3 linked regions of the Oryzias latipes genome follow. The protein of the gene in region 2 purifies or fractionates together with the protein of the main gene of each other region. This does not show direct contact. Links are inferred from orthologs where the notes say so. Each region holds a gene or a part of one and is shown on either strand. Other genes may lie near its edges.

Region 1 (11,161 bases), on a different chromosome or scaffold from region 2:
CTTTTTCCAACTGCAATTTTTTGTTTGCTCCAGATTCCCAATGATTAAAAAAAAAAAAAACACTCAAAAATGCAATTTCAAGCTTAATAAATTTTCCTTTATGGTTTTCCATTGTCATCAGAAAAACACCACAAGAACGTGTTAAAAACACAGTTCTCATCAGAGTGACCAATTCAAAATAAGATATATTTTAGGACAGTCCTTTCCTAGTATTGCGAGAATCCTCGAACCATCCTAGCTAGGGGTGGGCCGATATAGTTTTCCCCTGCAGCTGTGGCCAATAGCTGAAATGTGCCAATATCTAAGAGTCTATAGTTACACAAATTTAGATTTCCTTTTTGTTTCTAAAATAGAAATGCACAACTTTTCCTTTACTGGACAAACACATTGTACTACACCTTTTTGACATACAGCAAAGGATCTGATAGGAACAAGTATCATTTTAAAACTTTTATATAAATATATCTGCAAGGATTCAGACCATTTATTGACTAATGGGCATAACTGTAAACCATAAGCTCCCCATTGCCAGGGATGAACGTCACATACTTGATTAAACCGTAATTAACATCGATATACATATATAATCAATATACATGACTATAAATTAGTAATATATCAATGGTAATTAAATATCGTTTGACTAACAACGTCTAAATGGTAGTTCAAGACATATACCTGTTTTTTTTTATATACGTCCACTTCCGGTTAAATAAGATAAACAATGTTCTCCACAAGAAATTAACTCTTGTTTTATTTGGGGCTTTTTGTTACAAGCAGAGAACAATAAAGCTTTATCAAAACAACATCTGAACCTGGAAAACGTGCACGGCGATGACGTTCTCTCCGAGTTCACAAACGGACCGGTATTTGCCTAAAACGCGGGATCACGTTAGGTTATACACAAACACCAAAGGTCAACATCTAAAATAAACCTTTAAACAAAACTTCACAAACGTTTCCTGCTTCTGTTTTATTGCTGTTTTAGATGCAAACGGGTGCGCTGTCGAAAAGCTCTGCTTACCCAGCAAACCTCCGTCATTTGATGCACAAGCTGCTGAAACCTCTGCTTCTGAGACTCGATTTCGATGAAATGTTGAAGCTGAGGGTCAGCGGTTGCTCCTTGCCCGTCCATAGTTTCTTCAAATATGTTGTTGTAGCTCTATTCTTTATATTAATTATAGAAATATGTTGCCGAGTTTGCTGACCTTCACGTGTGTGAATGAACGACGGGAAGCCGGAAGTGATTCAGCCAATCACACAACGCGTTTGTGGGGCCGCATACGTAAGCGGTCAACGTTTATATATTGCTAAATTTCATATTCACAAAATTAAATTTGCTAACAAAAAAACAGGATTCTTCTTACTGAAATTTGAACTGTAGCAATATTCAAATTGATCCCGCTTCAATAAATAAAAAGGCTCAAAAAACGGTTAACATCTCAAAGTCTTTTGTATGACACAAGTTAACTCACGCATTTCTATTTTTATTTACGTATTTATTTCCGTATGTGATTGATTTATTTGGTTATTATTGATCACCAATTTCTCTAAAAATTTATATTACTTATAATTTTGTTCTCAATAGTTAATAATTTCAAAAGATCAAAACAATGTTGTTTTGTAGTTAGAACTGCGTTTTATTCTTGTATTGTTATAAATGTTGAATTTTGCATTATATTCTGCAAATGTTCAAATAAACAATATTTAAAATTTATGAAAATTGCTGCAAAACATCATGTTATACAAAAATGTAAACAGTGAAGTTATGTTTAGATTTGGATAATATTAAACCAAAAGAGACCGTTTTAAACACAAAACCCCAAACATTTGAAAGCCTAGCATACTTGGCTTTATTTGTGCAAAACATAAGCTTACACTGCATTAAAAAAACAAATCGAACTAAATGTTGTCTACATTCCAGACAGACTTACACTCAAAGGAAAAGATAATAGTTGTCAGAGATAAGTGGAAATATGGACAGTCCAGCTGAATGCATTTTTACAAATAAAATGTAAAAGCAAGTGAGTAATTGTGATATTTTGACAGTCAAATATTCACATTACAGAGGATATTTGTATGGTCTTTGAGCCCTGTATTCAAACTGGTAACAGTTTTTATGATTGTGTTTATCTTCCAGGAACAGACAGAGATGCTGCGCTGTGGAGGTGGGTCTGAGGTCTACTGGAGCTCATACAGAAGATCCTGGACAATCAGCACCAGGTCTTGAAAGGTGGGCCTTTCGTCTGGTTTCTAAGTGTAAAGCAAAGAGCAACATTTCTAATAATACTGAAATGATTTTTCGTTTCGAATTCTTTGCGGGAGTTAAAATAAAATTCGACGGCTCACTTACATCATGCCAGCAGCTTGTCATAATTTTGTAGACTCTTTCGTTGGCCAGCTGAGGGCGGTAGAGACGGAAGCCATGTGAAACCTGGTCCACAATTTCTGAGTTGTTGAGGCGTTCATATGGAAGTCTACCCAAAGTGTACACCTCCCACATCAGCACCCCTGATAAAGAGCGAGCAGTAAGCATGTTATAGCACAATGTGGCTCAGTCGACAGTGACCAAGAACTAATAAGCAGTTTGTGTTAAACCTCCCACCGTAAGCCCAGATGTCTGACTTGCTGCTGAATTTGCTGTAGAGGAGGACTTCAGGGGGAGACCATCGAACTGGGAACTTTGAGCCAACAGAACTTGTGTACTCATCATCTAAAACGTATCTGATGACATTGAAAAGGGGTTTCATTGTTTTTGCTTTGACTCGTGTCCCGTTTGTGCATCAGAAACCAGGAAGGGTTTTACCTTGATAGACCAAAGTCAGTCACTTTGACTGTGCCATTTGCATCTACTAAGCAGTTCCTGGCAGCCTGCAGATAAAACAGTGCCCTTGATTCAAGGATAATCATTAAATGTAGCAGTGTTATCTTGTAAACTCAAACTGCTGGTTATCTTGACACAGTGTGGGAATGCTGCTAGGTGTTTTTTTTTTCCACTCAGAAACAGTAGATCTTTGTCTCTCACCAGGTCTCTGTGGATATACTGCTGTGACTCGAGGTAGGCCATGCCCTCAGATACATCCTTACACATCTCCAAGAGCTGGTCGGCAGTTGGGTGCTGGATCAGGCCTTCCTTGAGATATGTCAGCAGACACCCATTTGCAAGAAACTCAGTCACGATATAAATAGGTCTCTGCTTGGTGCAGACACCGTACAGCTGCACCAGGTTCTCATGGCGAAGCTTCCTGGTTTGAGCAAAAAGAGAAGGAAGTTCATTTGGTTTTTCTCAGAGGTTTTGAAAACTACATTCACCACCTGGATGTTCCTTGACGGGGTTTAGCTGTGCTTACATCATGATTTTGGCTTCCTCAATGAAATCATCTTCTGACATGGAGCCCTCTTTAATCATCTTGATGGCTACGTCGTGCTGGCCCTGCCATTTCCCATACTTCACCACTCCAAACTGGCCCGTGCCGAGCTCTTTGATGAAGGTGAGGTAGTGGGGGTCAATCTCCCACACGCCTGGAGGAAATAGAAGTTCAGATTAAATAGGTCCTTTTGTGATTGCAGGCTTTTTTACCCCCACACAAGAACTTAAACTTAAACTCTAATCGAACCCTCCGAGGATCTTTGGCACTTAAATTGCTCGCAAAGAAATAAATAGTTGATTCATCATCAAATGTTAAAAAAAAAGGATTTAGAGTCTGCTACAGATATACTCTTACCATAGCCGAGTCCTGCCGTTGACGGAGGTCGCGCCCGATTAGACACAATATGCTTCAGCCTGCAAACCATACCTGGAGATAAGAAAAGCAGCTGAAACCTCCTCACTTAGGTTGACAGTTTGATAGCAACGGTGACAGATGCATGGAGGACAGTAGTTTGCTGTACTGCCATTAGGTTTAAAAATAGGTAAAAGGAACGCCGCAGGAAACGTGGCACATTATCGAACCAAATCTGCATTTTTTAATGTGTTTTGTAACTTTCATCAAGTCCAATACCCAATCATGCAGCTTTCAACTTGTGCCTTCTTATATATAATTCAGTGGTCTTTTTTGTTTTGTTCACAAGGATGGTTTATTTAATATTCCCACTAACCACTGCAGTCTTTTAATGTAAAATGTGGTCTTCTTCATTTGCTTCTTTTTTTTTTTTTACAAAAATTTGTTTTTTCATGCTGTTTTGTTTTAAGCCCATTTCAGTCTGTGGTGTTAACATATAGAATGAACTGGTGTCAGTGGACTCAAAAGAAATTCAAAATTCTAATCGCAATCATAATGAAGTTTTAGTCAAGATTATTTATTTCTGCTGATATTTTGGTAAAGGTTTCTCAGGGTTTCCCGCTGTTGAGTAATTTCCTGTTAGCATGAGCTGGCTCTATTTATACTGTTTTGCATACTGGTCTACAGGGCTCCATCTGTGCCGTGGCGGGACTGACCGGCGGCATTGTGCTGATGATAGTTGATGAGCTCTGGGATGGTGTCAAAGTTGTGCTTCTCTGACAGATAAAACTGGCCCTGTGGGGTTGTGCAGATGTTGTAATGTCTGCAGCTTCCACCTGTTTCCCTGTAGAGAAAAAAAAAAGTGAAATCGAGTGCCAGCAGATCCAGCTGAAGGGTAGTCATCCACATCGTATCTTAGTGTCCACATCTTCTTATTCTTATAACTGTTATTTTATTATTTTATGTGCTGCTTGCACTGTGGGGTGAGAGTGCCCACAGTGCTGGGCTGTATGTCTTGTGTATGCAGAATATTTGACAATAAAGCTAACTTTGACTTTGACTTTGACAGTAACTATATTACAGTTTATCCTCAGAGTAAACCACAGTACAGATCAGCTTAAATAGTAAGATTAGCCCAAATTTGGCATAAAAAGATTTACATCTTTCTCTCTGCGACCAGCCGTTTCCGCTTTCATTTTGCACAGTTCTTCTTTTCATAAGTTTACACATGACTGACGCCAAAGGAGCAACCATAAAAAAATGGTGGCAGTGTTTCCACAAGTTTACTCACGCGCCACTCTTGGCAAATAAAGATACGGTGTATTTCCCAGCTTTGCTTGAGTCCCGCACCAAGAAACCGCCGTCTTTGTTCTGAAAGTGAACATTTTAAGAGTTTCAGAAAAAAAGTTCTGGTTCTAGTTCGGAAGGAAACAAAAAAAACATGCTGTAGTCGCAGCATTTATTTACCTCAGACTTTAACAGCTGTTCTGCTTGACTGCGGTTCATGTTCTTGCAGTACCAACTGTCGAAAACAACAGAACTGTCTTTTTCTTACTGCTTTTTACCTCCAGAATTCATGAAATTGGCAATTAAATACATCTGTGCCAATCTGATACAACGCATAAACATTTATCATTTTAAATTAAACATTTGAAAGTCTTAGAAACAGAACATAACCATTTTCAGGGCAGAAAGGTGGTACTCACTGAAATCTTTCAAGGCCGGACTCTGCTTCTGCAACATAATTACTTGGTATGTAGCCTTCTTTCCTGTAAAATATAATCAAGATCTCTTATTGCAATTAGTAGAATATTTTTTAGGTATTTGTCAAAACAAATTCAAATATTACTATATTTTCTGCACTGTAAGGCACACTTAAAATTTGCTTTAATTATTTTCAAACCCAGAACGCCTTATATGCGGATTCATTCTGCTTGTGTTTACTGATGTCAAAGGGATTTTTAGAGGTACACGGTGTTTTTGTGAATACACACTAGTGCTGCTAATGTGTAGCGGTGTCGGACTGTGTTTTTTTTTCTGTTACTGTACTAACTAAGTTGGGAGTTAGTGTAATCACAGTAACGTTTGTTTTTAGAGATATCAGTTTGGTTTTTTTATGTTTCAAACAAGGTTGGGAGTTACAGATGTTGTGAGCACGCCAACACAGCTAACGTGTAGCGTGCTATAAACAAGTTCTAGAATTACTGTGACCTCAGTTAGTAAAGTCTGACTGATGAATTTATCTCTAACACTTTTGTCTTGCCTTATTTATGACACAAGCTCAAACATACACCATTCATTGACGGTGCGCCTTCTGATCTTTTGCGCCCTATAGTGTGGAAAATTCTATCTGCCTTCCATCTGTAATGCCTTAATTTAATTTTTAGACTTTTACTGCTGTGAGCAAAGAGAAATAAGTAGCGTTTTTAGCATACAAATACAAATGTGTTTGTAAGGGTCCAAAGTAAAGTGGTTTATGTTATTCTTTATTTGGCATCTTCTGACCCGTATTTGTCTCTGGCTCTCCACCAGTTGGGGTCTGACTTCTCCAGAATGGTGTACTCCTCATTCGTCCTCAGCTCCAGGTCTTGGGCTGTCATGGGCGTGTAATCATACTCAGCTATGACAGTCATGCTTGAAGAAGGAGCAGCTGACTCAGGCTGCGGTGGAAGACGGCGACTGGGACTGGGCTTTTCCTGGGACGACATGAAATCATGCACATAGCAGATGTGTTGCACAAGTATGAAACAAAACCGAAACTTAATATCTTAATTATTTATTTTATTAGAGACCTAAAGTTACCCTTACCTCTGATGGGGTCGGTGGAAGAGGCTTTCTAGTCGACCTCGTTCTAGATGCATAACCTTCAACAATAAATTTCATATTTGGATCAGCTGTTAAATTGTTGAAAAATGTATCACACAAAGGAAATCTTTTTTTTTTTTTTACCATTCTTATCCAATATTTTGCAACCCATAGCTTGTTTAACTTCCTGTTGGCAGCACAGCCACACGCCATCAGCCCAGAAACAGGGGTGATACTTTTGCATCAGGTCTTTGTTGTAGCGCACCACTGTGCACAAGAACAGACACACACGTCTGCACCATTTACATGAAATCAACATTTGCATTTGCATAGCTCTTCTGTTTCACAAACAAGAAGTGACATATACAGAATATTGAGACACAGAATGCAAGTCTGTGTGGACTTACGTTCTTTTAGCTTTGTAATCCACTCGGTACGACTGTTCTCAGACTTTGCAAAGATGTATAGAGGCCCTTCATCGTAGACCACCTGAGGCAAAAATCACAGTCTCCGTTTTTATTTATTTCATTTACCCCAACACTTCACCTTAGCTGCATTCACTCAAATTTAACACAAGGGTTTACTTGTGCCTCTGAATGTTAATCACTCTTTAAATATTTGAATAAATGCCAATGCGTACAATGTCTTATATCTATTTACTAACTAAACTCAATAAAAATGTAAGATCATAATTTAAAAGCTACTGAATTCAGGAGGATGTGGAGATTGACTGGTTTAATGGAACTAATTCTTTCTTATGTTGCCAGTTAGCAAGGCAGACTCCTATCAAGACATATTATGAAATATATATATAATATTGTTGCTACTTTTTGCCCACGTTTTGGTGCTGCAGTGCTTAAATGTCCTTGTTGTGGAACAGACAGTACAGTTACTCCCATTACTTACCATTCAGCTCATTGGCAACACCTGCATTGTTCTGAAATCCCCTGGTTCATCTGAGACAGTTTCACTTCTTAAAGAAGACACTTTCATAGTTTTTGTCTGTAAGAGCTTTGGGGAGTCTTCTTTTTTGTATACATTGAATTCATTGGAAAAAGAATTGGATGCAAAGCAAAATGTTTGTTGGCACACTTTAAAAGATAAAAGTGGTATAGATGATGTAGGATGTTATAATCTATGGGCTCTATTGGAAACTTAAGTGAAAGCAAAAGTAAATAAGTAATAGTTTTGGGATGGGAAGTCTGAAAAACTGGATGAATGCTTTTTGAAGCTTGTACAAATCGGTTTAGATTAAAATGAAGCTTGTTATTTAAAAAGAATAAACTCTACCTGGAAAGCAAACCTTCGCTCCTGTGGAGCGTTGGGCTCTGTCTCGACCGTCTCCACACACTTTATCTTCTCAACATCAACGGAACCCCTCAGACCTTTTCGCTTCTGCTCACACACAAGGAAAAAGTTGGAGTCTTTTGAGTGCATCGGCTGTAATGCCCGGTTTATACTTACAGCGATTGGCCATCACATTAATCGCATAGTGTCCCTACTGCATTGCGCTGTCTAGTTAATTCTAAAGTTGGCCGGTTTCGCTTGCGACTGGCCTTCATGGCTGTGATGAACTTCTGAGTGGCGTTTATACTATTGTGTCCAGCATTTCCGTGGTTTGGTATTTTCAACATGGCTGACATCTTGCTGCGTTGGCGAACACGCAGGTACACAATGGTCAATTTTCTTAACACAGTTGTCCGCTCTATCTGACTCTGTACCCCCGCATGTGTATCATAGAGGCTACGGTATTTCCTAATGTCTTCAATCATCAGCAATGTTAAAAAAGACACTATTTTCTGGATCGAGGTTGCTCTGCCATCGCGTCTTCTGATCACTTGAAACAACTGTAGTTTCAATAGCGCGATATGTACGTGATTGTACTACAGGTGTAAAATTCCAATCCTGGATGATGTCATCAACCTGTGTCGCATTTCGCAGCGATTGGGCCGATTCCTTTCCAATGGCTTTGCGGCCGATGCCACCTGAGCAATTACAAATCACTTTAAAGTCTAAACTGGGTATAAGATGCTTTAAACAACATCCATTCACAATAAAAGTATGTCCAAGTAGTAAAAAAAACAAGGACTCAGTTCTCTGTTTACTTTACACACCCCTTTGTCTGCATCATAGTCGTAGTAGGCTAATTTTTCTGCCGTCAGAACGAATAATCTCTCCTTGTAGTTCAGAGGAGATGTCTTCTTCTTCTGCTGAGATCTTTTGATGAAGAGATCTTCCAGGATGTTTTCTGACATGATTCAACCCAGATGGATCTACACTGGGACAAAAAAACAAACAAACAGAAAACTTAAGAAGAGTGCAGCAAACAGAAGGCTCTTACAATCACAGCCATTGCCCCCACAGCTCCACTCATGATCAGTGTGCGGTTGGTGTGTTTCCTGCATATCAAGTATAGAATGGAATATTTAAATTCCCCTTCAACCATATTTTCAAAGAAGGAAACGGAACACTGACCTGTTGTTCATAGAGTCAGAGCAACAGTGCTGTGTCAGATGAGATTAAAGATCTGAGGAGAGATGAGCAGACATGCAGTTTTTGCACTTATCAGTTAGTGATTAGCCGAAATTTGCATTTAAAGTCAGCGGTCTAACGTCAGGATTGTCCTGCGATTCCATCATTTCCTTTAGTAGGAGATCTTTTTCCCTCAGCCATCTTGTGACTTAAATAAAATTAGAAATCATGCAGTAAAATACATTAATAACTTATCTGTGATATATTACACTACATTTTATTGCTTGATTTCAAATATTTTCCCGACGCTCACATGGAATTACATGAGATCCAGTTTCAGGGATTTGAAAAAGTGTAGTTAGTGGTACAGGCTCCTGTACTTTCAGTGCAGACACAATACAAACAGGGATCATGACTTGGAAAACTTCACAATCTTCCTTTTCTCTGTCGCACAATCACTCAGACACAAGACTACTTTTAAACAGATCATAAAACAGTCTGCAAATAAAGGAGGTTCTCATTTGGGACTGTGCTTTGTGTCATGGTTTTAGCACCTCGCCAGTGTTGAAATGAAACCAGCACGCTCAAAACAAAAAAAGCTCCATAACTATGAGTCATTCTGACTGTGAAGGTGAGACTGCTGTTGCTGAGCTGGTCATCGATCTAGGCACTTGAATAGGAAAACACGGAAACGGAGCACAGATGAATGACCATCTGTCTTCAAAATGATACCACATATGGTACAAGAGGAAAACACTAAACACCCATCCATCCACTTCTGAACCTGCTGAATTCCTCTTAGGGTTACGGGGTTGCTGGAGCCTATCTCAGCTACTGTTCAGTAAAGGCGGGGTACACCCTGGGCAGATTGCCAGTCTGTCTAAACACCTAAGTGAGATATAGGACGCTCCATCTTAAAGACGGTTAATTTAATTTGATTGGTTTGAGTTGACCGTTTCTGTCGTGTACAGCAGAAGTTTAAATGTCAGTATCTGGTCAAACTCCTCTTTATCAAACGCCTGAAAGCTCAGAGTCCATAAGCCTGTGTCAGATATTTTTGCTCTACAGCTCAGCCTATTTTAAGCCGTTAAGTACTTCCTTTTATTTTCTGAAGTGTAACAGTAACATGCCAGAAACTTCTGTACCTCCCTGCTAACCAAGAGTGTCACATTTCTTAACATGAGGGTGACACTACTTATAAAGTCTGTTGGTGTTCCCTTTTCTGCCAAGTATTGTTTTCTCATTCCTCATTTGCCATCTTTGTCAGTTGTGACAGTCCCAAGACTCTGCAGAAAAGCCTTGAACGTGCGTGCTTAGACTGTGGCGGCCTAAAAGACATTTGCTTGTTAGCCGTTTTCTGAAGCGAGTTGACTCACAGAGGCTGACACAGGCAAACCCATGGGGAAGTTGCATCAAGGTTGTGCTGTGTTGTTTTTTGTGGGGGGCTGAAAACGTTACAAGCCCTGCTACATTTCTATCTGAGATTGTCCTGAAATGTGTTGCACAGTCAGGTATGCCTTTCTTGTACAACAGTGCAGGGTTTGTTTACCATCCCACTATGTGACACAATGAACAAATTCATACACAAATACTGTTTGAGTAGCATAAAAGAATGTGAATCAATGTAAATACACGTCTATGCCTCTTTTTTACACAGATACATGGAAAACACTATCCGAAAACCCTTTGCCACACAGGAACCCATCAAGATGCTGTCTTTCCTGATGTTTCCTGACAGATTAGTTGTGTATGTGTGAGTGTGTTAGTGTGCGGGTATAGACGGTAGAAGCAACAAGAGAGAAAAACCTGTCAAGTCATATTTTAACCACAAAGAATGCTGTCACTTATTTCACTTTATCACAGCAGTTAAAAGCCGATGTGTTCAGTGAGTCATGTGACAGGGAGTCTTGACTGCATAAGATCAAAAGTTTTTTTAGACAGTTATCAGACACGGGTTTCAAAGCGGGTGACATATTTAAACCATTATCTGATTTTTATTAGTTAAATAACTTAGAAAAGAACACGCAACAGTGTTAAAAGCGATGCAGCCTTTAAACAAAACAAGCATTTTGACACATCGAGGAATGCTATAACGTCCTTAAGATTTTGCAGGCAAGAGAAGTACAAGCTGACAAAAAAAACGTACTTTGTAGATAACTATA
Region 2 (10,217 bases):
ACCGCACGCACGACAGATCTCCATGTCCTCAGCTGTTTGGATGTATATTTCTGTGTTGTGAAGCAGACCTTTCATATTCTTAGTACCGGTTTGGAGTGTGTCAAGTGGTGTCAAGAAGAATGCGTGTTCTGGTGTTTAGAAATGTCTGGGCAGGACTTGTACCTAGGTGCTGACTTGGTGTGTTACGATAGTCTAGTATTGTCAGAAGTGACAGTGCAGTTTTTACAGCTATTTCTGATTGCAATCCAGTGAGGATGTTCTGTGTTCACATTCCCACAAAACCACTATAGCTGCAACATTCAGGAGCCAGTCTCTGAAATTCCTGTGACCCATTATCTGAAACCATAACATCTGGAAACCCTTGTCTTGTCTTCATCTTTTCGATGGTGATAAAACTCGAGGTGTTTGGTGGATTATTAAACTGGAGCGGTAATCCAGATATATTAGATGGTTTTTGTCGTTGTAACAAAACAAATCCACTCCTACTTTGGACCCTGGTCCATAGCAGAGACGTGTGGTCAGGGGAGGCAGATAAAGCAGTGCCTCACCTGTCATAATCCTCACCTCCCATCACAAATGCTAATAATACCAAAAATGTGTTGTCTAATCTCTACTAAAAGGCATTCTTTATGTATTTTTCATTCTCAAAATCCCGTATCTTGTGTACTTCCTATTCAACTACAGTGCAGGCTGTGAGATGAGCCTCACTGCAGATTGCCCAATTCCATGCAATCCGGGCGGATTGCGTGCCTTTAGTTTGTTCAGCGTATTTGCTAAAATGCTTTTATACTTTGTAAACCTTTTTATTACATGTCCTCACTTTCCATTAGATAGTTATTGTGTTTTATATTTGTCTGTTGTTTATTTGGTGTTCAGATCTGACATAAAGCTGAAAGACAGAAAGTGACGCAGGCAGAGAGACGAAGAGGGCGTTCATAAACTCACGTTTGTTCTTCAGCTGTGTAATATTCAAAAGCCGTCCTTATTTTCTTTTGTTTCGACTGACCGACGGATGAAATGTAATTTTAAAAAGTCGGACTTTCACTGAAATGTAAAGTAATAAATAGTCGATGATCAATGGTGGACCAACACTTCTGCAGTGAGACTGAGAGACTAAGGGAAGATAAGGAGGAATTTTACGCTCAGGTCACTGAGATTATTGACTAGAAGGACAGATAAATGGGCTTTGTGTACAAGGAAAGGGTAGACAAGGGTGTGTGTTAGATTTCCAATGCTATAGGATGGCAGTAGCATCTCTCTTCTTGTTGTTTTGGGTTATTATAAGTATTTTAAACTTCAGGAAAAGTCTGCTGCAATTTGACCAGAAGTGCTGGTATTGAACTTCTTTTCTATTTTTCATTCAAATCTGGAATTAGTGACTCTACATGGCCACAAAACTGACAACAATTTACATAGTTTTGACTAAATATCCAGACATGAGAACTTTCCTCCCTGGATGGAGGCAAGGGGTCTCCTTGAATTTAACCCTTGTGCTATCTTAGATGACCCCACCCTTACATTGACGTGTTCTCCCTACCATGACAAAGGTGGATAAAGGTGGAAAGGTTTCATGTAATCCATGGACACCAGTGAAGATCACAAATCATTGAAGAAAAAAGGTTCAGAGCACTGTCTAGTGGGTCTAGATGACCCAACTCCCAATGTTGAAGTGCCTAGGATAGCACAAGGGTTAAAATAGTGGCTATGGAAGAACATGATAGAAATGTCTGGGGACACATACATGCCTTTTGCTGCACCTTTAATGAAAATGTTCATTGTTTTTCAGACTTTTTTGAGCCTTTTGACAAACAGGTAGGCTCTTAAGTCATTCAAACTCTACACCTGAACACACAGTGTGCGGAACTGACCATTGCATTCAACTTTACAGGAAAAGTCTTTCAGCCTTCCAACAAGCAGGTCAGTTGGAGTTCTTTTTTCTTATCAAGACATCTTAAAAGTAAAGATTTGATACGAAAAATATGAAAAATTTGAATATAAGTTTGGATTTATCATTTAGATTAGTGGAAACGGGGCATTTTGGCTGAAATCGACATCACAAAATGCACAATTTATTAATTGCTTCTGAAAAAAGGAGAAAAAATCAAGCAGTGGATGAAATCTATCAGAATAGGACTCAGCCAGTTATGTACGGTGAGGTTGATGGCTGGTGAGGCACCGACTCCTCTGCAGTCAGATTTACAATGAAAGAACTGAATATTTCAGGATTCATCCAACAGCAGGAAACAGCTTATAAAATACACACAAGAACATATTTTTCCAACAGAGAATATTTCTTTTATAAACATGGATAGAACACTCTTCTTCATATGTACTGTAAACAAATTAAAGTATACAGATCTGTTCAGCACACATTTGACCCTCAGTAACTATTTCTGGTATTTTTCCAACTTCAAATTGTGGTGCTTTAATCAGTGCTATCAAATGTTGTCTGTAAAAATGATCATAAAAATAAAAGAAATGATGTTACTTAACTTTTTTATACTCACGCCCATGTTATTTTTAAAAAACAAACAATGGAAAACATGTTTGGCCTTACTTTTTGAGTACCTGCACCGATCCTTCTCCACAAAAAGCTCAATGATCTGTTGGAAAATTTTCCTTTTTTTCCTTTAGTTTATGAGTTTCTCCCTCTCAATGGAGACAGACGTCCTCGGTCTGTTCTGTTTCTACGGCGCCAGTGTAGCTACAAAGCAGCTGTCAGCTCACATCTGCCCCTGCTGGTGAGGCTTGCTTAACCTAAAGCCTTTTCTGCGGGTCTACAGCAGTGTTTTCAGCGCACTGTTACTCTGCTCTCTGTTAACATATATTAGCCGCGTTTACATGGGCAAAAGTAATCGGAATGAACGCCTGATCGGAAAGAAAATGCGTCATCGAAACACGCCGTTCGGAATACTCTGCCCCGGTCAGACTCGTTCGGATCAGAATTTCTTTCTGATCGAGATAGGTGGGTTATACCGATCATTTATCCGATCGTGGAGCATGTAAACGGTCATTCCGATCGTGTGTCACTGCTGCTCTGGTTTACATCATGCATAGATGGTGTTTCGCTGACAGAAAGGTTTGGAGCGCAAACGCGACCAACCAGCTGCTCTGCGGCCGCCCCGTGAAAAGCGCCCCTCTCTCTCACCCCTCACAAGGGAGATGCGGGGCAGGAGCGCTTCGTGCCCCCCACGCTCACTCGGTCCACTGGAGTGAGCAGAGGAGCCGGTTTAATAATTTTGTGTCTGATGGGGGGAGGATGCTTTGTTACGTGTGCGTTTTGTTGTTTTGTTATGTGTGGGAAAATTCAGACTGCGAGCGGTCCTGCCGCTCTGGGTTAGCTGCTGCAGGACTCAGGAGAGCCGCCAGCTCACACGGCTTTGGGGCGGTCTGTCTGTGTGAACTTTTCAGAGCAGAACTAAATGTCGTTCAGTCCTTAGAAACTGTTCAAACAATCACGTGGATTTGTGTTTCTAGTTGTGTCCCGAATAAAAAAATAAAGGCAGATGTTATTCCCACACATTTACGTGCAGCCAAGATGCTGATTGCTGCGTTTCTCGCATGGTCCTGGATTTTGTGTCCATGATCAGGCTAATCATGTTGTTAGCCCGTGTTAGCCTGTCCTAACCCTTCTTCCAGCTTAATTCTTCCACAAAAAAGCACTGACCACACAAATAAAACGATGAGCGAACAGGCGCTTCATAATATTCATGACATTAAAAAAAGCACGTTTGGAAGATTGTCTCGTATTACGGAGCTGCTGCACATGCTGTCTGTCTGTGGCAGCGGTTTGTTTACAACGGGACCTAGTTTCTCATCCGGGTGATTTTACACTACTGCGCATGCCCAAATCATTCCGAAAGTGTGAGCCATGGGAACGTTTGTTCTAATCGGAAAAAGGTTTTCTGTGCCCATGTGCACGGGGGAATTTTAACCCGACCATTGATCCGATCAAGTCCTGCAGTCAAACACGAGACGAATTGCTTCAGAGCCTCACCCAGAGTTTCAGCTCAGTTTGTGATCACGCAACACTCAAATTTGGCGATTTTAACCTCAGAAACTGTGGAAAATGTGTTGAGTTGACTGATAATTAATATTTGACACAGATCAGTGGAAAACAATATTTACGTGATTTACCTTTGTTGATTTTACCACGATTATGACAGGTGGGCACAGCGTCACCTGACCGCACGTCACTGGACTCAGCGTATTTTTGAAAAGCACATTATTCCAAGGACTGGGTTTCACACAAACCCTTTATCATTGGTTGAAAATGTTGGTACAAAAAGACTAGATACGAAAACAGAAACCACAACAGCCAATAAAAACAAGGAGTTTTTGAAGAGACTTCTATAATCTGTATTATTGCTTTTTGCTATTGATTTTTCAATTTCTGAGATTTTATGAAGCTACATGTCCTTATAAGGAGGTAAAAGAATAGTAGAATTGAATTTACTGTTTTTCAATCAACAAATTATTCTCTTCAGGAAAATAGCATCAACTTAATATTGATCATGTCTCTGTTTAGGAAATATTGATGCTTTAAGACCCCACAGTATGTATGGTGACAACACATAGAAAAGAAATAAAAAAGTGGCAACTATAGCCCAGTTTGTCTAAAAAACCTAACTTTAAAATGATTCATCCTAAAAAAAAAGCTCTTGGTTTTTTTTAAATTATCTGCAAAACGTTCCAACCATATAGAACAGATTCACCAGAGGAAGCCAGAAATGGCAAAAAACGACTATACCATGCATGACTCAAGATTCAACTGTCTTCCAGGCTGTGTCCACCTGTTCAGACCAAACTGTCTTTCAGTTTACCCCCCAAACCCAGCACCAGGTAGGACAGAAACCTTTCCAAAGGGTCCTGAGACTACAGAACTTTGTGGTTTTCTGTCAGACACTCCCAGCAATCCTGAGAAATGTGCTGTAGAACTAAACATTTACTCACTTACTTTCTGCAGGTCAAACACCAAGAGATTTTCCGCTGATGTAAGTGACAACAGAGAACACACTTGGTTTAAAAATGATGATCTTTTGCCACTCACACCCCGTTTGCACTTTACCAGGACGAAAGGCCCACACATGACTACGAGGAGGAAAATTATGAAGTCTGTGATATAAATAAAGGTGAGCATTCTGTGGAGAACTGCGCCATCTAATGGACAACCAAAAACGATTTCAGGTTAAATGTGTGCTTCTTTAGGTTTCAGAGATCAACACGCAGGTGACCTTCCGCCTGCCCCACCCAAACCTCCACCCAAGGAGTAAGCCTGAATATTTCATGTCCTTATAAGGAGGTCAAAGAATAGTAGAATTGAATTTACTGTATTTCAATCAACAAATTATTCTCTTCAGGAAAATAGCATCAACTTAATATTGATCATGTCTCTGTTTAGGAAATATTGATGCTTTAAGACTCCACAGTATGTATGGTGACAACACATAGAAAAGAAATAAAAAAGTGGCAACTAAAACCCAGTTTGTCTAAAAACACTAACTTTAAAATGATTCATCCTAAAAAAAAGCTCTTGGTTTTTTTTTTAATTATCTGCAAAACGTTCCAACCATATAGAACAGATTCACCAGAGGAAGCCAGAAATGGCAAAAAACGACTATACCATGCATGACTCAAGATTCAACTGTCTTCCAGGCTGTGTCCACCTGTTCAGACCAAACTGTCTTTCAGTTTACCCCCCAAACCCAGCACCAGGTAGGACAGAAACCTTTCCAAAGGGTCCTGAGACTACAGAACTTTGTGGTTTTCTGTCAGACACTCCCAGCAATCCTGAGAAATGTGCTGTAGAACTAAACATTTACTCACTTACTTTCTGCAGGTCAAACACCAAGAGATTTTCCGCTGATGTAAGTGACAACAGAGAACACACTTGGTTTAAAAATGATGATCTTTTGCCACTCACACCCCGTTTGCACTTTACCAGGACGAAAGGCCCACACATGACTACGAGGAGGAAAATTATGAAGTCTGTGATATAAATAAAGGTGAGCATTCTGTGGAGAACTGCGCCATCTAATGGACAACCAAAAACGATTTCAGGTTAAATGTGTGCTTCTTTAGGTTTCAGAGATCAACATGCAGGTGACATTCCGCCTGCCCCACCCAAACCCCCACCCAAGGAGTAGGCCTGACTCATTCTCATGTTTCGCCAATAACACCCACTTTTGATAACAACTTTCCTTCTGATTTTTTTGTCTTTGTTTATTAGAAGAGTACCACAATCACCCTTACAGTCGGTAGGAGTGCTTTCTCAATAAATATTCGTTCACAGAATACCAACTTTTCATCACCGTGTCACATGATCAAGAAGGGATTTCTGATATTAAAACCCTGGTTGTGATTCTTATTGCAGAGACCAGAGTTCAAATCGAGAGAATTTGAAAGTAAGTCAGTTTATTGGTTCTGTGCTTTCACCAATAAAGTGGTAAATATTTACAGTAGAAGCCCTAAAGCAGCTGCAGAACTGTTTTCCTTTTGTGGTTTGTGCATTTCAAAGGCAGCAAGCCCAGCAAGCCCGAGAAGCAGTTATCTTCCCTGTCCTTCAAACGACCAAAGTGAGGCTTCCTGCTCCACACTACACATTTCTGAAGCAAAACACAAAGTCACATAAGTCTGGGTTTGTGCTTTAACTGGATCTTTTTTCTTTAGGGCTCCTCTTCCACAGTTCAACTCTCTAAGTCAGTATGTCTTTGAAGCAACAATGAGTGCAAAAATCCTCCTCATCAAAGTGAAGCGACTAAAATCGTGTTTGTTTCAGAGCCCCCTGAGAGAGGAAGCCCCCCAGTGGACAACGGCTCAGTGGATCAAGACAAGGTTTGCTTTCGCAACACAATGTAAAAAAATTAAATCTTCACGTTTTTAAAATTTGTGATGTGTACTTGAAGACATGTCAGGATGCAGACGTCTGTAACAAAGCCTGGTACGCCTCTGCATGCGACCGCAGGACTGCAGACGAGGCTCTGATGCGCTTTAACAAAGTGAGGATGGAAATGTTGATTTCCCCGTTAGCCGTTAGCTGCCGGATCTGAGCAGGACTGTCTCTGTTTCAGGACGGGGCCTTCATGGTGAGAAAGAGCTCCGGCCACGATGCTCAGCAACCGTACACCCTAGTGGTGTTCTACAAGGGCCGAGTGTACAACATCCCCATCCGCTTCATGCCAAACACACAGCAGTTTGCTCTGGGGAGGGAGAAGAGAGGAGAGGAGGTCTGATCTGAGCGCTTTCATACTAATTACAGAACAAGGCACTTTGTGCGCGATGTTTCCTGTGCGTGGGATGGGAATAAACTTAAAAAAGGTTTTTATTATCACAGACGTGTTATGAAGTATAGAGAAATATGTTGAGCTGCAAACATTCAAAAGTGTATATCTTGATATTAATGTACATTTTTGATATAATAATCCCAGCCCATGGATTCAAGTGTGTGTTGTTTGAACACTTTTCTTTACAATGATTGTTTCAATTGGGAAATGACAGTGAGTAAGGCTGTTTGGGTGATAATGTGTCTATCCTTTTACTGCTAATCCTAACAGCCACTTCAAGTTAAAAAAGACTTTTTATCTAAAAAAAACTTGAAGAATTGACTGTAAATGTCTCTTTTTCCCTCCAGTTCTTCAGCAGTGTGTCCAGCATCATCGAGAACCACCAGAAGAACCCTCTTGTGCTGATCGACGCGCAGAGCAACTCCAAGGATACCACCAAGCTCTGCTTCCCTGTGAAGCCATGAAAGTCCTTTCTGACTGTCGTCAGGCAACATCCATGAGCTCCCGGCTGCATCTGCCGGCTGCGCTGCCGTCTACGCTGCAGACGCTGGGCCCCTGCTGTCGGCTGCAGCTACAATTGGCCCCCAACCGAACAGAGAAGGCCGCTTTGTGTCAAGCTTCCATCCATCGAGCCAAAGAGGAAAAATCCTAAATGTCATGTGTTCAGCACAACCAACTAAAATGATGCACTGAATACAAAACGATGTGATTGCATATTACAAATATGAATGTTCATGTTTCCCTTTAATAAACAGCAGCATGTGAGGTGTATGAATTTAAGAATGAAATAAAAACGTGTGTTCAGAGTTGAAACAAGATCAGAAGAAAATGTTTTCATTGCTGCTCGGACACTTAAGTGACAAAACTGCTCAAACATATTTTATTGTTTTTTCCATGTTCAGTTGGACTCAAATTAATGCAAGGAATGAGACAATAACGCAAAGAGAAGAACCTTTTTTTCTTTTTAACAATGCTTTGGAGGAGAAAGACAGTCCGTGTTCCACGTCTGCTCACGTCCTCATTCATAAAAAACGGCTCCGTTCTGAAAAAGTAATGCTGTTTAGACGCGTGACCATTGGTTGCATAACTTAATTAATAACCAGGCACTTGGTGAATATTCTCAGAAAGGATTTTACAGTACCACCAGACAGTCTATGTACAATTATAACAAAATGGAGACTTGAGAAACTGGGATTTGTGCACAATAGAAGAGGAATTGTCCTTAAATCCCCGACCGCATCCGTCAAGCCACAGCGCCGCCGTGTGAGCCGTGAGGGAAGGTGTGGCGCCGCGGCAGGACGCGCGCGGCGTGAGATTGTCAAAGCCCGATAAAGTGAGGTAACAGGGAAAAGAGGAATCCTCTGTTCATAACACAACCAAAAGATTCCATCCTCGCTTCAACACAAACAGGACTAAAAAGAGGAAACATTCAATTTAGCTAACTAATAACATTTACATTTTCTTAAAATTATTTTTAGCAGATTTGACTTCAGAAAACAAAAGGTTACCGCATGAAACTGTCTCATCAGTTAAATTAACTCCCACGTCATGCGACTCTCATAGTTGCCATATTTTGTGAACAAAATACAAGTTTTTACAACAAAAAATGTACAAAGATTTCTCTAATGGCCAAAACAATAATGAATAAATGAAGCATATATAGGATAAACCATAAATACAAAGAATAAAACAGCTTTTTTATGCTTTTGCTTTCTTAAACACACACTTTGGTATTTCAGAGTAACTTGAGGGGACGTCCCAAAAACAAATATGGCAGCCCACTCCCACATTAGCTGATCCCACGAGGGTATGGCAAATCTACTACCTACAGTGTTCTTAATGGGGTTCAACATGACAGTGTACTGAAATGACCATAAATAAAGAAAAGGGAGACAATTAGAACCCCCCCGTGGTTGTGGCTTTACCAGAGTTCGTCTCCAGCTTCAATGCTTCATTGACCCTGAGCATGGGACCCCCCAGGAGGCATACGATTGTTCACAAACTCAATCACAATTAAGACCTAAAAAAGTGTCTTTTTTCCAGACTATTGTGTCCAGTGTTGGAGACGTTTAAGAGTTTTCACAGCTTGGCCTTTTCCACTCCATCAGATGCCGCTGCCGATGGCTCATCATGGTTTCCTGACACGTGAAGCTCCGCCCACAAAACCAGCAGGAGAACTTCACCGGCAAACTCCTGCTGGGCGAGTCTACGCCCACTATTTCATACTTTTTCCTGTTCAACCGACGGAACTTAAACTTCAAGGTGAACCTTTCCTGCACCGGGTTGTCCCCCCGCCACGCAGGTTGGGTCTGGGCATATCCCGGGACGTTCTTGTCGCTGGAAGCGGAGAGAGCGTCCAGAGTCCTGCGGGACAACACGACTTTCTGCACCTCCCTGTGCCTGCTGACAACCTCCATGATCTTCACCACCTGAGGAATGTCAGCATCAGGGTGATTCAGCACCACCACGGGTTGGTCTCCAGACGGACGCTTCACCGGCTGGGAGGGGTTTATGGCTACTAACTTCAGGGTCCTCTCCTGGTGCTTTGGGACCAGCTGGCAGTGCTGGCCAGCGGCTGGAGAGGACTCCCGCTGGATGGCTTCGCCCACAGACAAACACAGCAGAGGTGCATCTTCAGGACTGACCGCGCTCCCGCCTCTCTGCTCTGACGAAAGCTCGAGGCGTGACGCGTCCGCTTCCATGGCGCCTGAAACAAAGGCGGGACAGAGGAAGGATGACATTATCACCGAGCAGAGCGTGGGGTCTTCATAGAAACTGTGAGGCGTCATCTTACCCTCTGGTGTGTTTGCGGTCTGACCAAACGGTGAGCAGCTGCTTCTGCCATTCGCTGCTGCTTTCTTCTCATCATCTGCCACATGACAGTTAGCACCACTGGGGGGTTGTTGCAGTTGTACATTTGGGTCTTCAGTCACA
Region 3 (11,161 bases), on a different chromosome or scaffold from region 2:
TAGAAACTTCTCATCATAAACACCATGTTTTTTGCTTTTTCAGTAATTAATGCTGGTTTGAAAAGACACATTTTAATATCAAAAATGAAGAAGTATCAGTGATGTTGTCAAGCAGACATTAAAAGCTTTAAAACGCTTTGGTGTATTCAAACTACAATCAACTTCAGATCAGAAAGGAACTGGTCAGATACTTTGTTGTTTGAGGTCAAAGTTACAGAGCTGGATTATGGTTGGACTTTAGTTAGAAAGCTCAGAAACGTGAATGTTGGGAAAGAGACACCAAAAGGGATTCCACCTGAGCCTGGAACATGAGGTTGTTCTACCTGATGCAGTAAAACTAAAGTCTGTTACGCACAAAACTATAGCATCTGATACTTTTACACCAGAAGCAGTACGCACAATCTGGATCTGAGGCTGCCACGCCTGAGACTCTCATATCTAACGCTGTAATCATGAGAATCGCACAAGATTTGGATCTTCTGATTATTTCCCTGAACTTTTGTTTCCAGCACCACGTGGCAGATGGAATTTTCTCAATGATCAAGGATGCAGCTAGAATTGGGAGGAAAAAGGTACAGATAATCTCTAAACCACACCAAGCACATCAGCAAGGACACATTTTCTAAAAGGGTCAAATTCTTTTGCTGTCGGTAATTTTGGGCAGAGTTTTGGAATCTACGGTAATTTGGAATCATGACCCTTGACTTCATTTCATAAAGAAGCAAACTGTCCAAGTATTGGACACAATAAGTGAAAGTTTGCTGAAGGTACATGGTAAATAGCGTCTTTTATGTAGCCCTTTTTTTTTTTACCTTTTGTAAGGGCTTTACAGTCACATTCATCCTCACACACTGATCAGTGGTCGACTGCTCTACCTCTGCCAAAAATGACCCTGCTTTGGCTCTGCAAACTATTTTTTTTCATATTTTTATCTGCTTTGATAAAATACAATTTTATTTTTTTATTTAATCTTTATTTATATAGAAAAAAAAGAGAGAAATTCTTATTTTCCATTGTAGCCTGGCAAAAGGTAAAAACAGAAATAAAGTGAGTTATAAGAGACACACAGAAAAAATATGGAACAGCACAAAACAATCGATAAAAAAAAAAGATTAATTCAATAAAATAATTAAAATCCTTAAACTAAGTTAAAGCAATATATTTCTTAAAAATGATCCTTAAGATCCTTGAAATAAGAGTGTCAAGTCTAAGGTTTTTTGGAAGTGATTCCAGATTCTGGGTCCTGCAGACTGAAAGCATAAAGAACCCAGGCTCCAGGTATAGTCAGGCATTGCTTGATGTGTTTTTTTAACAGTAAGAAATTAACAATCCAACCAAGCTGTCCTGTGACGAGTTCTCCTGCAGCAAAGCCTCTGACACTGGACAGCAGAGAACACATGTCAAACTCAGAACTTGAACAGGACAACCTGCCCAAAGATGTCTAAAAAAGGTTTCAGAATTAACCACACCTCGCCACAACACACCGCGCTGTGCACACAGTTTTATTTATTTGTGCTGAGGGGATCTGTTTGTTACCCTGTTTGAAATGTTTTTGTTCAGATGGAAAATGAAAACATAGCAGCTTCTAAACATCAAATGAACTTAGTTTAAGGTAGTTCTGTTCCCAATGACGAGCCGTGTAGAGCAGTTTTAGTCATTGTTTTAACTAAAAAGATGCGTCAGTGTTTTTTTTTTAAAGAACAACATCATATAGAACTGAGTTAAAGTCCCTCATGCTTCTAAGAACAAGAGAATCTGGCGTGTTAAAGTGGGTTTGGAAGTGGAAGGAGGAGCGTGGGTTCCATGGTCCAATTGGTCTGGTGCACTCGGGCTTCTCTGCTGTCAGAACCTTCAGCGGCCACCATGCTGGGATGTGTTCACATTTATCTGACATGAGAAGTCTCTCTGAACGCCTAGTGTCTGCATCCTCAGTCTGACTTCAGCCTCTGCTCTCTGTACAACCTACAGCCCAGTCGTGGATCGCAACACAGCACCACAGACAGCTCAAACCCGTACGAAACCCGAGTTCCCGGAAATCAAGCAGCCAGCAAAGGTAGGTTCATCGTGCTCGCACATGGAAGCACATTTCCTTTCAGGGTCTGTTTGTGTTTAAGAGATGAGCAGGGAAATTCAGGAATGTTCACAACCTTAAAACTGACTGAGGAGCTACACACCAAGGGTTCACGCTCTGTGGTTACAGAGTCAAAAGCCCTGAAACACAAACACCTGCTAATGATGAGCCTGTGAAGCTGATGAGAGTACAGACATGAGTCAATGTGGAGAACAGCAACAGATGACTCAGAGATGAGACGTCTTTCTCTTTATTCTTAGTGTGAAACCTACTTTTCTCCATCAGAGGCCATGCCCATGGACACAGAGGTGTACGAGAGTCCTTATGCAGATCCAGACGAACTGAGAAGCTCCACAGTCGATCGCAAGCAGCTCTTCCTGGAGGATGGAGAACTGGGCTCAGGGAACTTCGGAACCGTCATGAAAGGCATCTACAAGATGAGAAAGTATGTTCTTTTCAGCTCTCCTCCACTGACGATGTCAGCTGAGCTGGTGAGGTCAGGCAGCAGAGAGAGTTTGTGTCGCAGAGCGGGAACAAAAGTCAAAATGTTTCATTAGATTCAGTCACGATGACTTCGCTGGACAGAAACTCCCAGGTGAGCAGCCCTGAAGCAGAACTGAAATTTACATAAGAGTCAGGTTTACCATGGCAGAAAGTCTCTGAGGAACATTAACTTGATTTTCAAATAAAACACCAAGTGCTGACTCCACCTGCTCCACCTCAATGTGAAGTTGTAATCTGCAGAATGGAAGCACTTGGAGTCACGGCACACGTATGCAAGCAAAGCTAACCTCCGACAGAATCCGTGGGACTGTCCAAGTGTTAGGAATTGACTTTCGGTCTTGCCCAAGGACATTTAATTAGAGAACATGGAAATTGAACTCTTAACCGCGTGGCTGGAGGATGATCACTCCAGGTCACACGCTAATCTGTGAATGCAAAAGTAAAAAAAAACATTATCAGTAAGTCCTTCTTAAAGGAAGGCAAAATAACGTTTAACTTAATAAAACAACCTAAAAGCAAAAGAATAATCCACGGGATTAAATTAACATCCTTGATCCTTTTTGATGAACTTGAAAAGATGTGCATGAAGTCTTACCCCTCAATCCTGTGTGCCAGATCAGAGAAACCGGTTGCAGTAAAGATCCTGAAAAACGATGACAACAACCCGTCTGTGCGCGAGGAGATGCTGCGAGAGGCCAGCGTCATGCAGCAGCTGGACAACCCCTACATCGTCCGGATGATCGGCATCTGTGAGGCGGAGAACCTCATGCTGGTCATGGAGCTGGCTGATCTGGGGCCGCTCAACAAGTTCCTGCAGAAGAACAAGTAGGTGTCCAGCTGGGTCTGTTCTCAACCGTATACAACCTTTATATATATATATATATATATATATATATATATATATATATATATATATTTTGGTTGACTGTCTGTGACCTTCTGACTGAGTCTTATGTCAACTTAGAAAAAGAAGAAAATGTTGCAAACGTCTGTTGTTGCGGTTTTTTTCCTGGACTTCAGTTATTCTAAGTAGGGGCTGATTTTTCACAGGCACGCTTCCACAAAGAACATCACGGAGCTGGTGCACCAGGTGTCCATGGGAATGAAGTATCTGGAAGAGCACAACTTTGTCCACAGAGACCTCGCTGCCCGAAACGTACTGTTGGTCACACAGCACTACGCCAAGATCAGCGACTTCGGCCTGTCCAAAGCCATCGCAGAAGAGCACAACTACTACAAGGTGATAGAGGCTCAGAGAAAGGAGGCTCAAAGCCATGTCACACGGCCGCTACGTACATTTTAGGCATTTTCCACGTATGAAATGTCGGTCTTTCGGGATTCACGCTTGATGTACGTAATTCCTGTGTGTCTTGGTTGATGTGCGCAGATGTTCGTTGAGGGTTTCGGCCGACAGGTCTTCATGTGAAATCGGTTTGGAGCTGTTCAGAATTTGTGGTCGGTTGAAAATTATGCAGTTTAAGCCTGTTTTACATAGTTTACATGCAATTATTACGTAAATCTTATGCAATTTTGGATGACTATTGTGAGATGCATATGCAAATTTGTGGCTTTTACAACAGTTCCACATATGTCTAACGGACTTTTCATGCATGGACCACAGAAGTACAATTTATATCACGTAAGCAGCGCACATATCACGTTAGAATTTTGGAATTGACGCAGGAATCCCTAATGAGTTTCATATAATGAATTGCGTGGTTTATTTGTACTTGCTGTGTGGTTTTGATGTGGTTCTTACAGGAAACATCTGTGAGAATTTCATGCAAAGACTACAACTTTTCTCACTTTTCCCACGTATATTCACGTATGACCAATTGTCATCCGTGCAATAGTGGCTGTATGCCTCTGGCTTCAGAGAGGGACCATAAGGAACGAGGCAGATACATTCAGACAAATTTAGGGATGTTTAAAAGCATTCAGAGGTATTTTAAGATTTTCGAAAGCACAAAAAGACACTTGGAGAATACAATCTGGGAACAAGTGAGCCGTCTCTGCCATCTTTTACAGACAAATCTTTCTTCAGGTTCTTTGATAAATCTAAGAAGTCCTGTTGTGTCTTCTTCCATCAGAACGACATTTTGTGTATTTCCTCCAGCAAATACAAAACCACTGTTATTACAGTCGGAGATTTCCCAGGATTAGAGAAAACCTGTGGAAGTAAAATGCCCAACCATACAACAACAATATAATGAGCGTATTATTTATTTTGAAAAAGTGTTGTCTGCCATGACTTCTTCTTACCTCAGGGCTGAGGTTCAGAACAACAAGCCCCTCCCACTGGGCATTTCATGTAACATAATTAACTTGTGATTTTGCAACACTTCTTTTGCATTGTGCCATCTGCATGTGAACCATCTTCTATGGGTGACGTCACCCTCGCTCGGTCCAGTTCTCTTATATGGTCAATGTGCTAGATCCAAGATGCTCTGTGAGGCTTCAGTCCTGAAGAGTCGCTCTCCTCTTTGACTTTGAGTTGATGATAGCTGTGCCTCAAACACCTCCCAGAATCCTCTGGGTTTGTCACATTGTGTCCTCTGCGGTCACCAGAGGTAAATGAGAGCTTTTGACTTTTCTGTTCTCCTTTTTCGGTGCTGGCGTGAGTGTGTTCGGTCTTGGTTGGCAGCAGAGCTAACAGCTGTTGTCATCTATGATAAATGTATAATCTGAGATGTTTCTGATAACGTAACCGTCTAGTTTAGAAACCCGAGTCTGTTTGATGTGTTTTTGTGATTCTCTGTCCTCTTTTTTTTTTTAGCTCTAATTTCATATTTTTGCTCAGCTTTTGCCAAAGTGTGGCTCTCCCTGAATCTGTCAGTGACACCTGACACTGGTTTTTGGCGCTGTGTTTCTCCTGCAGGCAAAGGGTCATGGGAAGTGGCCTGTGAAGTGGTACGCGCCTGAATGCATCAACTACTTCAAGTTTTCCTCCAAAAGTGATGTGTGGAGCTTTGGCGTGCTCATGTGGGAGGCCTTCTCCTACGGCCAGAAACCATACAAGGTATGAAGAGTCCAACCGCAATGCTCCAGGTCACACACAGCCACGTGTCGCCACCTGCTGGTCATGCTGGTCACTGCAGCAGTGTTGGGATTTTTGTGTCGGGACAGTTTAAGCTGTGAGTCAGGAACAAAACAAACATTATCTGTGTGACTGACAAGAACAACGATCAGGACAGATGCAAATTCAGTTCTGCACCAAATAGCAAGAAATATCTAAGCAAATTAAATACAAAGACCAAATGTTCTTAATGCATTCTCATACCAGTCCAAACTAGTAATCATCAGAGTTTAGCTGTAATTCTGTATACAGTGTGAATGTAGAAGACTCCCTCTAACGTGAATTCTGGTCAAACAACAACTTCCAGGGCTTTGATTCTTGGTGAACTATCAACGTCATGAAGCTCGTTAAGTTTTACTGAAAGAAACAAACTCATGTTCTGCACGTGCACGGCTGCAAAAGTAAAAGAAGGTCAAATTGCTATACTGTATATAGAAAAATGTATCACTGTACCACAATAATTATGTAGCACTATAATTGGATTATTGTACATTGCTACATTGTATTAATGAATGATTTGATGGCCACAAAAACAGAGTGGATTTTCTAAATGATGAGGTGAGGCTCTCAGTGGGTTTTGGTTAGTAGGAGACTTCAAGGCAGCAGACCGCTGCATTAAAGTATTATTAATACGTCATTAATGAGCTCTGGGCTGCTCACTGGTGGTCAGCAGTGTTGCCTCATAGCAAAAAGGTCTGGGTTCAGATCCTGTGCATGCATGGATTTTCTCCAGACACTCCTTCCATCCTCCCACCATCACAAAAACAGCCTCATAGGTTGGTTGAGGATGTGGTTCTCTGTTCTATGCGGGGTCTTGACTTCCTGCTCTGACCCTCTGGACCGAGCAGAGGATAAGGCTTCTCTACTGCAGAAGCTCCATGCAGAGGTGAAAATCTGCCTTAGAAAAAAAGAATAAATCAATCTTTTTAAAGAAAGGAAAATAAAACATTCAACAACATATGACACACGTGCCCCTGGCTGACCTCGTCAGTTCCTGAGTTACCTTCTGGTTACATTAGAAGTAATTGGATTACTTATGTCAGCAGTGACTGATGGGAAATGCAGCATCTTTCAGTGACCGTGTTGGCGACCTTCCACAGGGAATGAAAGGAAACGACGTCATGCAGATGCTGGAGGGTGGGAGGCGGATGGAGGCTCCGGTGGGATGTCCTCAGGAGATGTACGAGATGATGCTGAGCTGCTGGACCTACAAGTGAGTGACGGGCGAGCACGAGGCACGGGCGCAACGCTGTCGGACACGCTGACAGACTGTCTTTTCTCGGTTTCAGGGTGGATGAGCGGCCCAGCTTTGCCGTGGTTGAACCCCGACTGCGCGAGTATTACTACGATATTTCGCACTGAGCCGTGGTGGGAGGACGGCTGTATGTACACGCTTAAAGCGGGAAATGAACGCTCTGGATCGGCATCAAACCGGTCCTTTTGGAGAGTCCCTTACCAAAGCACATTTCTCTGCTCATCAGTGAGGAAGGCGGCCGGTGCAGACAAAGAGGAAGAAATGCACAAATGACTCTGTGAAGAAGAGCTTCAAGATTGCTATCGTGATGCAAACCGGACATGATTAACGACTTCTCCTTCTATGTTGAATGCAGACAGGATGAAATGTATGAGTGCTTGCTGAGAGTAAAGCTGTGGCGCAGACTGAACATCAGACTGTTTTATGTCCTCTTTGCTGCTGAAGCTGCAGCAGTAAGCCGGGTGGGGGGGCTGAAATTAACAGCTATCTGATGCTGCTGAAAGCCAATTGAATTTAACAATTCCCTAATCTGTAATGCATTCTCCAGATCTACACAAGACTCTATATTTTTCAACTGAATTCATGTCTTAAGAAGAAATGAAAGAAAGAACTTCAGGTAAAAAACAGTGGTGTTCAGGTTTTGCACAGACTTTCCTGCAGCAAATATCAGCCTTGAGAGACAAGACTGAGGCTCTGTGAGTCTGCAGGAGCAGGAAAGGACAAAAAACCTGAACGGGGAAGAAAAACTGCATTTTGGCAGAATCTGGTTGATGGGATCTCTCAGAACTTACAGGCCGAGTCTCCAGACTGAGACTGGTCCACAGACCTGCAGCAGAAACACTGAGCGCTTTCTCTACAAGCCCATCAGGTAGCATCGTCCAAATGTTAGGTGACTTTAGAACCAGGTGAAAATGGGAAGCATGTGATATGCCTCCATTTATGTTTCCCAAAAAATCTTACCTTACTGCGCCAATCCCGATTGGCTGGTGATTGAGACCATAGACTGTATATGAGAACTGGACAGAGCATAGAAAATGATTTAATTCCAATTCATACCAAGTCAATTCGGTCGCCATTTTCCCACCATATGGCTGTCCCCATGTTGGAACCAGAGGTCGTCAGAAAGCCGTGATTGGTCCGAGCCGGTCTGGGTCAACATTTCTATGGCAACCCCTCTCTCCAATCAGGAATGATCTTGCTAGAAGGCCACACCCCTTCCACTTGACAGCGGGCTGCCACAGAATCTGTTGAGGGTTGAACGTTTGAGGTGACACCACATGCTTTTACTGAGACATCTGATTGGACAGTTTATAACTTGAATAACTTGCACTGCAGAAAAATAAGGATTATCAAGAAGATGCTAAAAAAATGTATCAGACCAAGAATGGTTGTCCTGACCAATAGATTGAGTAGTAGCTGTTTATGACATAGAAGTCTATGGAGTTTTGGCTTCTTGGAGCCAGTTGGTACTTCCTGTTTGGAACACCAGGGGGGAGGGGTCACTCAGTCCAGTTCTTTTATACAGTCAGTGGTTGTGACCCTCTGCCATGCATGAAGAATTTCTTCATTTTGCACCAGCATGAAGGGCTTTCTGATTTTTTTTAAAAAGGACTCGTCATTCAGAGGACTGGGATATAACAAGCAACCCAGTCTCTTTCCCGAAATGTATTCCCATGTCTCACTATGAGGAATGGCGACTCCCGTGTTCACAAGCAGGTTTATCAGCAGAGAGCGTACACTAAAAACAGAATCTTGGGAGAGTAAAAAGACCCTTTTTCAAGAAAAACGGTCTTATTTTCTGTCTTGCAAGAAAAAGTCTCATCAGAAGTGTTGCACAGTGAAATCATGTTTCTCTGCAAGACTATTTTTCTGACCTCATTAGCAGATTGTTTTCCTTATTTAAAGAAAATTTGCTAATGGGGTAAGGACCTAATTTTATGGGACCTGTTTTTACAGTGTACAGTCGCTGCTGCTAAAGTGTCCCCGATAGAGACCAGGAGGCAGCAGAGGGAGACCACGGGGGCTGACAACTGCTAAAAGGAGATGCAGTTGGGTTAGCAGCTCAGTGGCCTTGTGGAAGAGTGTCTGCCCTGTGACTGGAGGGTCATGGGTCCAAATCCACGCTGAGTGATACTAAAGAGTCGAAAAATGGGACCCAATGGCTCCCTGCTTGACACTCAGCATTAAGGGGTTGAGTTGGGGGCTTAAACCACCAAATCCTTCCTGGGTACAGCTGTGTCTGCAGCTCCCCCTCACTTTAACTTTGAACAGTTGCTTCTGTAATCCAGTGAGAGCGGCTCTAGTTTGTGAAGGGACAAAAATCCCAGAGTCTTGTCATCGTAAGAGTGCAGAGAAAAGCCGGCATCTCCAACCTCTGACAGTCAGGTGAAGAGAACGCCGTCTGGACACCGGGGCAGAGAAAACCCACCACCGGGGCAGAGGACATGAGGGACGCACTGAGAGGGAGATCAGCTCAAGCCAGTACCGCCACGCTCTGCAGGGAGAGGGGCTTCAGTTTGAACCCAAATCTCTGGAAGTCGACTCCATTGGTGTGGTGAGCGGATGCTTTGGTGGTGATACTTCTTTCAGGGTCACAGATGAATATTAAACATCCAGATGGTTTTAGGATCCAACTCCGTTTATGCGTAGCTTTTATTGATCAGCTGCTTCATACATGAACACACCCAAAGGTCTGACAGACTAAACTTTAATCTGAGGATTCAAATGTGTTTTATCACGACAGGTTGATATTTGCAGACAGGCAGCAGCTTCACTTCAGCGGTTTTTATTTAGCTCAGGCTGATCTCTATCATGAGAACATTTCACTGACAGGAAGCAGAACCATGGGAACACCAGGACCAGACCGGCGCCTCCGTGGAGTCAGGCCTCCTCCTTCAGGAGCTCTTCTTCTCCTCAAATATGATGTTAGCTGTGGCTTTTTTGGCTGTGGAGAAATGAAACAAAGTGTAGCGTCTTAGCATCGCTCCCTGACAGAGAAACCGAAACTAACACAAGCTTCTGGAGGAGGAGCGCTGCAGCCTCACGCTGATCTCTGCCTCTACGCTTTAACGCTGCCGGTGAGGCCTCAACGCTTGCAGGTGTACTGACACCTGAGCTGACCGTGTCACCTGACCTCAGGTGCGAGTCCTGTCTTCCTGCTGCAGCTTCCACCCACCTTCATCCCTGATCTTGTCGGCAGCGTCTGAAGCCTTGTCCTTCAGGTTCTTCACCGTGTCGTCGATCGTCGCCTCGTTCTTCAGGAAAAACGGCCGGATGATGCGGTGATAGATCTGAACGGACCCGTTGGAAGGGATGGGAGCCATGCACCAAACCAGGAAGGCACACTGCGAAGAGAGAGAGGACACCGAGGGGGGGGCGTTGGTGACGAAGACCAGGAGCTCAAACGCTCGGAAACACTTCAAAGAAGGGAGTTTCTGACCGGGTCAGACCTGCACGTTCATAAAAGACAGCAGACACCTCCCTCCCACCAAGAGCCAGAACCTTCAGGGGTCTGTCGGTCCTGAGAAACAAAGATCTGCGTCTGACAGCCTGACGTGTGGCTCACATCCGTGCTCAGTTCAGATCCGTCCGTGTGGATCTGAACCAACATTTGCTTTCTCATATCAGGCATTTCCATCCCAAATTCAGACTCAGGTTCTGCTGATCAACCCTCTAAACTCCTCCAAGCATTACAGCCACCAGAATTTTGAATGTCTATGTCGAGAACGGCTGCATGGTGGGTGGTGCAGTGGTTAGCGCTCTTGCCCCACAGTGAGAAGGCCCTGGTTCAAATCCCAGACCTGCATGTGTGCATGTGTCGGGTTTCCTCACACAGTCCAAAAACATGCTTCATAGGACAACTGATGATTCCAAGTCGTCCCTTAGGTTTGTGTGTCTTTGTATGGCCCTGCAGCTGTGACTCAGCCCCTCCCACAACTGAATCAGGTTGCCGTCAATTAGAGAAAATCTGGATTTAACCCTGTGAATTGCTCCATGTTTGTTTACCTTTACTCTAAAACTGTTTTGACTAAATATGTTATTGAATAAAATATTTTATTGTCGTCCTCTTATTCTGGTCCTGGATTGGTCCGTTATAAGCATGAAAATAGTGTCAAACTCCATTTGTGACCATTGTGGGCGGGCCTTCAGACAAACCGCTCCACTGGTTAGCTGGATCCGGTTCAGTCCAACACTCATTAACCAGCAGCTCATTCTGCAGAACAGCATGGAGGAGCTGCAGTTTTCTGGATTACGT

Evidence for each region.
Region 1: the proteins of B-cell linker protein (region 2) and btk purify together in Homo sapiens (affinity purification with western blotting; 5 studies listed by BioGRID and IntAct, with this or other methods). This does not show direct contact. The link is inferred for Oryzias latipes from reciprocal best matches to the Homo sapiens genes BLNK and BTK.
Region 3: the proteins of B-cell linker protein (region 2) and syk purify together in Homo sapiens (affinity purification with western blotting; 3 studies listed by BioGRID and IntAct, with this or other methods). This does not show direct contact. The link is inferred for Oryzias latipes from reciprocal best matches to the Homo sapiens genes BLNK and SYK.

Annotation. Positions count from the first base shown.
Region 1 is NC_019868.2:8,311,981-8,323,141, forward strand, and holds the end of btk (tyrosine-protein kinase BTK), read right to left. Parts: intron 9,055-11,161; 5' UTR 9,003-9,054; intron 8,806-9,002; exon of another isoform or gene 8,801-8,805; 5' UTR 8,783-8,800; coding exon 8,642-8,782; intron 7,923-8,641; coding exon 7,818-7,922; intron 7,017-7,817; coding exon 6,935-7,016; intron 6,795-6,934; coding exon 6,672-6,794; intron 6,587-6,671; coding exon 6,531-6,586; intron 6,419-6,530; coding exon 6,228-6,418; intron 5,492-6,227; coding exon 5,429-5,491; intron 5,245-5,428; coding exon 5,190-5,244; intron 5,094-5,189; coding exon 5,014-5,093; intron 4,567-5,013; coding exon 4,439-4,566; intron 3,798-4,438; coding exon 3,726-3,797; intron 3,523-3,725; coding exon 3,351-3,522; intron 3,246-3,350; coding exon 3,026-3,245; intron 2,872-3,025; coding exon 2,807-2,871; intron 2,725-2,806; coding exon 2,606-2,724; intron 2,512-2,605; coding exon 2,354-2,511; intron 2,254-2,353; coding exon 2,182-2,253; 3' UTR 1,830-2,181; downstream 1-1,829. Other genes in the region: timm8a (mitochondrial import inner membrane translocase subunit Tim8 A), read right to left, coding at 1,025-1,135. UniProt on the Homo sapiens protein: Non-receptor tyrosine kinase indispensable for B lymphocyte development, differentiation and signaling. Binding of antigen to the B-cell antigen receptor (BCR) triggers signaling that ultimately leads to B-cell activation.
Region 2 is NC_019873.2:3,161,095-3,171,311, forward strand, and holds the end of B-cell linker protein, read left to right. Parts: intron 1-1,786; coding exon 1,787-1,812; intron 1,813-1,888; coding exon 1,889-1,917; intron 1,918-4,782; coding exon 4,783-4,842; intron 4,843-4,966; coding exon 4,967-4,994; intron 4,995-5,071; coding exon 5,072-5,132; intron 5,133-5,208; coding exon 5,209-5,269; intron 5,270-5,655; coding exon 5,656-5,715; intron 5,716-5,839; coding exon 5,840-5,867; intron 5,868-5,944; coding exon 5,945-6,005; intron 6,006-6,081; coding exon 6,082-6,142; intron 6,143-6,229; coding exon 6,230-6,257; intron 6,258-6,373; coding exon 6,374-6,404; intron 6,405-6,517; coding exon 6,518-6,575; intron 6,576-6,669; coding exon 6,670-6,698; intron 6,699-6,778; coding exon 6,779-6,834; intron 6,835-6,905; coding exon 6,906-6,998; intron 6,999-7,070; coding exon 7,071-7,226; intron 7,227-7,630; coding exon 7,631-7,747; 3' UTR 7,748-8,099; downstream 8,100-10,217. Other genes in the region: RE1-silencing transcription factor, read right to left, coding at 9,353-9,990, 10,078-10,217. UniProt on the Homo sapiens protein: Functions as a central linker protein, downstream of the B-cell receptor (BCR), bridging the SYK kinase to a multitude of signaling pathways and regulating biological outcomes of B-cell function and development.
Region 3 is NC_019870.2:27,531,069-27,542,229, reverse strand, and holds the end of syk (tyrosine-protein kinase SYK), read left to right. Parts: intron 1-509; coding exon 510-572; intron 573-1,968; coding exon 1,969-2,053; intron 2,054-2,356; coding exon 2,357-2,516; intron 2,517-3,190; coding exon 3,191-3,400; intron 3,401-3,625; coding exon 3,626-3,815; intron 3,816-5,453; coding exon 5,454-5,594; intron 5,595-6,751; coding exon 6,752-6,864; intron 6,865-6,940; coding exon 6,941-7,013; 3' UTR 7,014-7,176; downstream 7,177-11,161. Other genes in the region: receptor expression-enhancing protein 5, read right to left, coding at 9,801-9,850, 10,082-10,250. UniProt on the Homo sapiens protein: Non-receptor tyrosine kinase which mediates signal transduction downstream of a variety of transmembrane receptors including classical immunoreceptors like the B-cell receptor (BCR).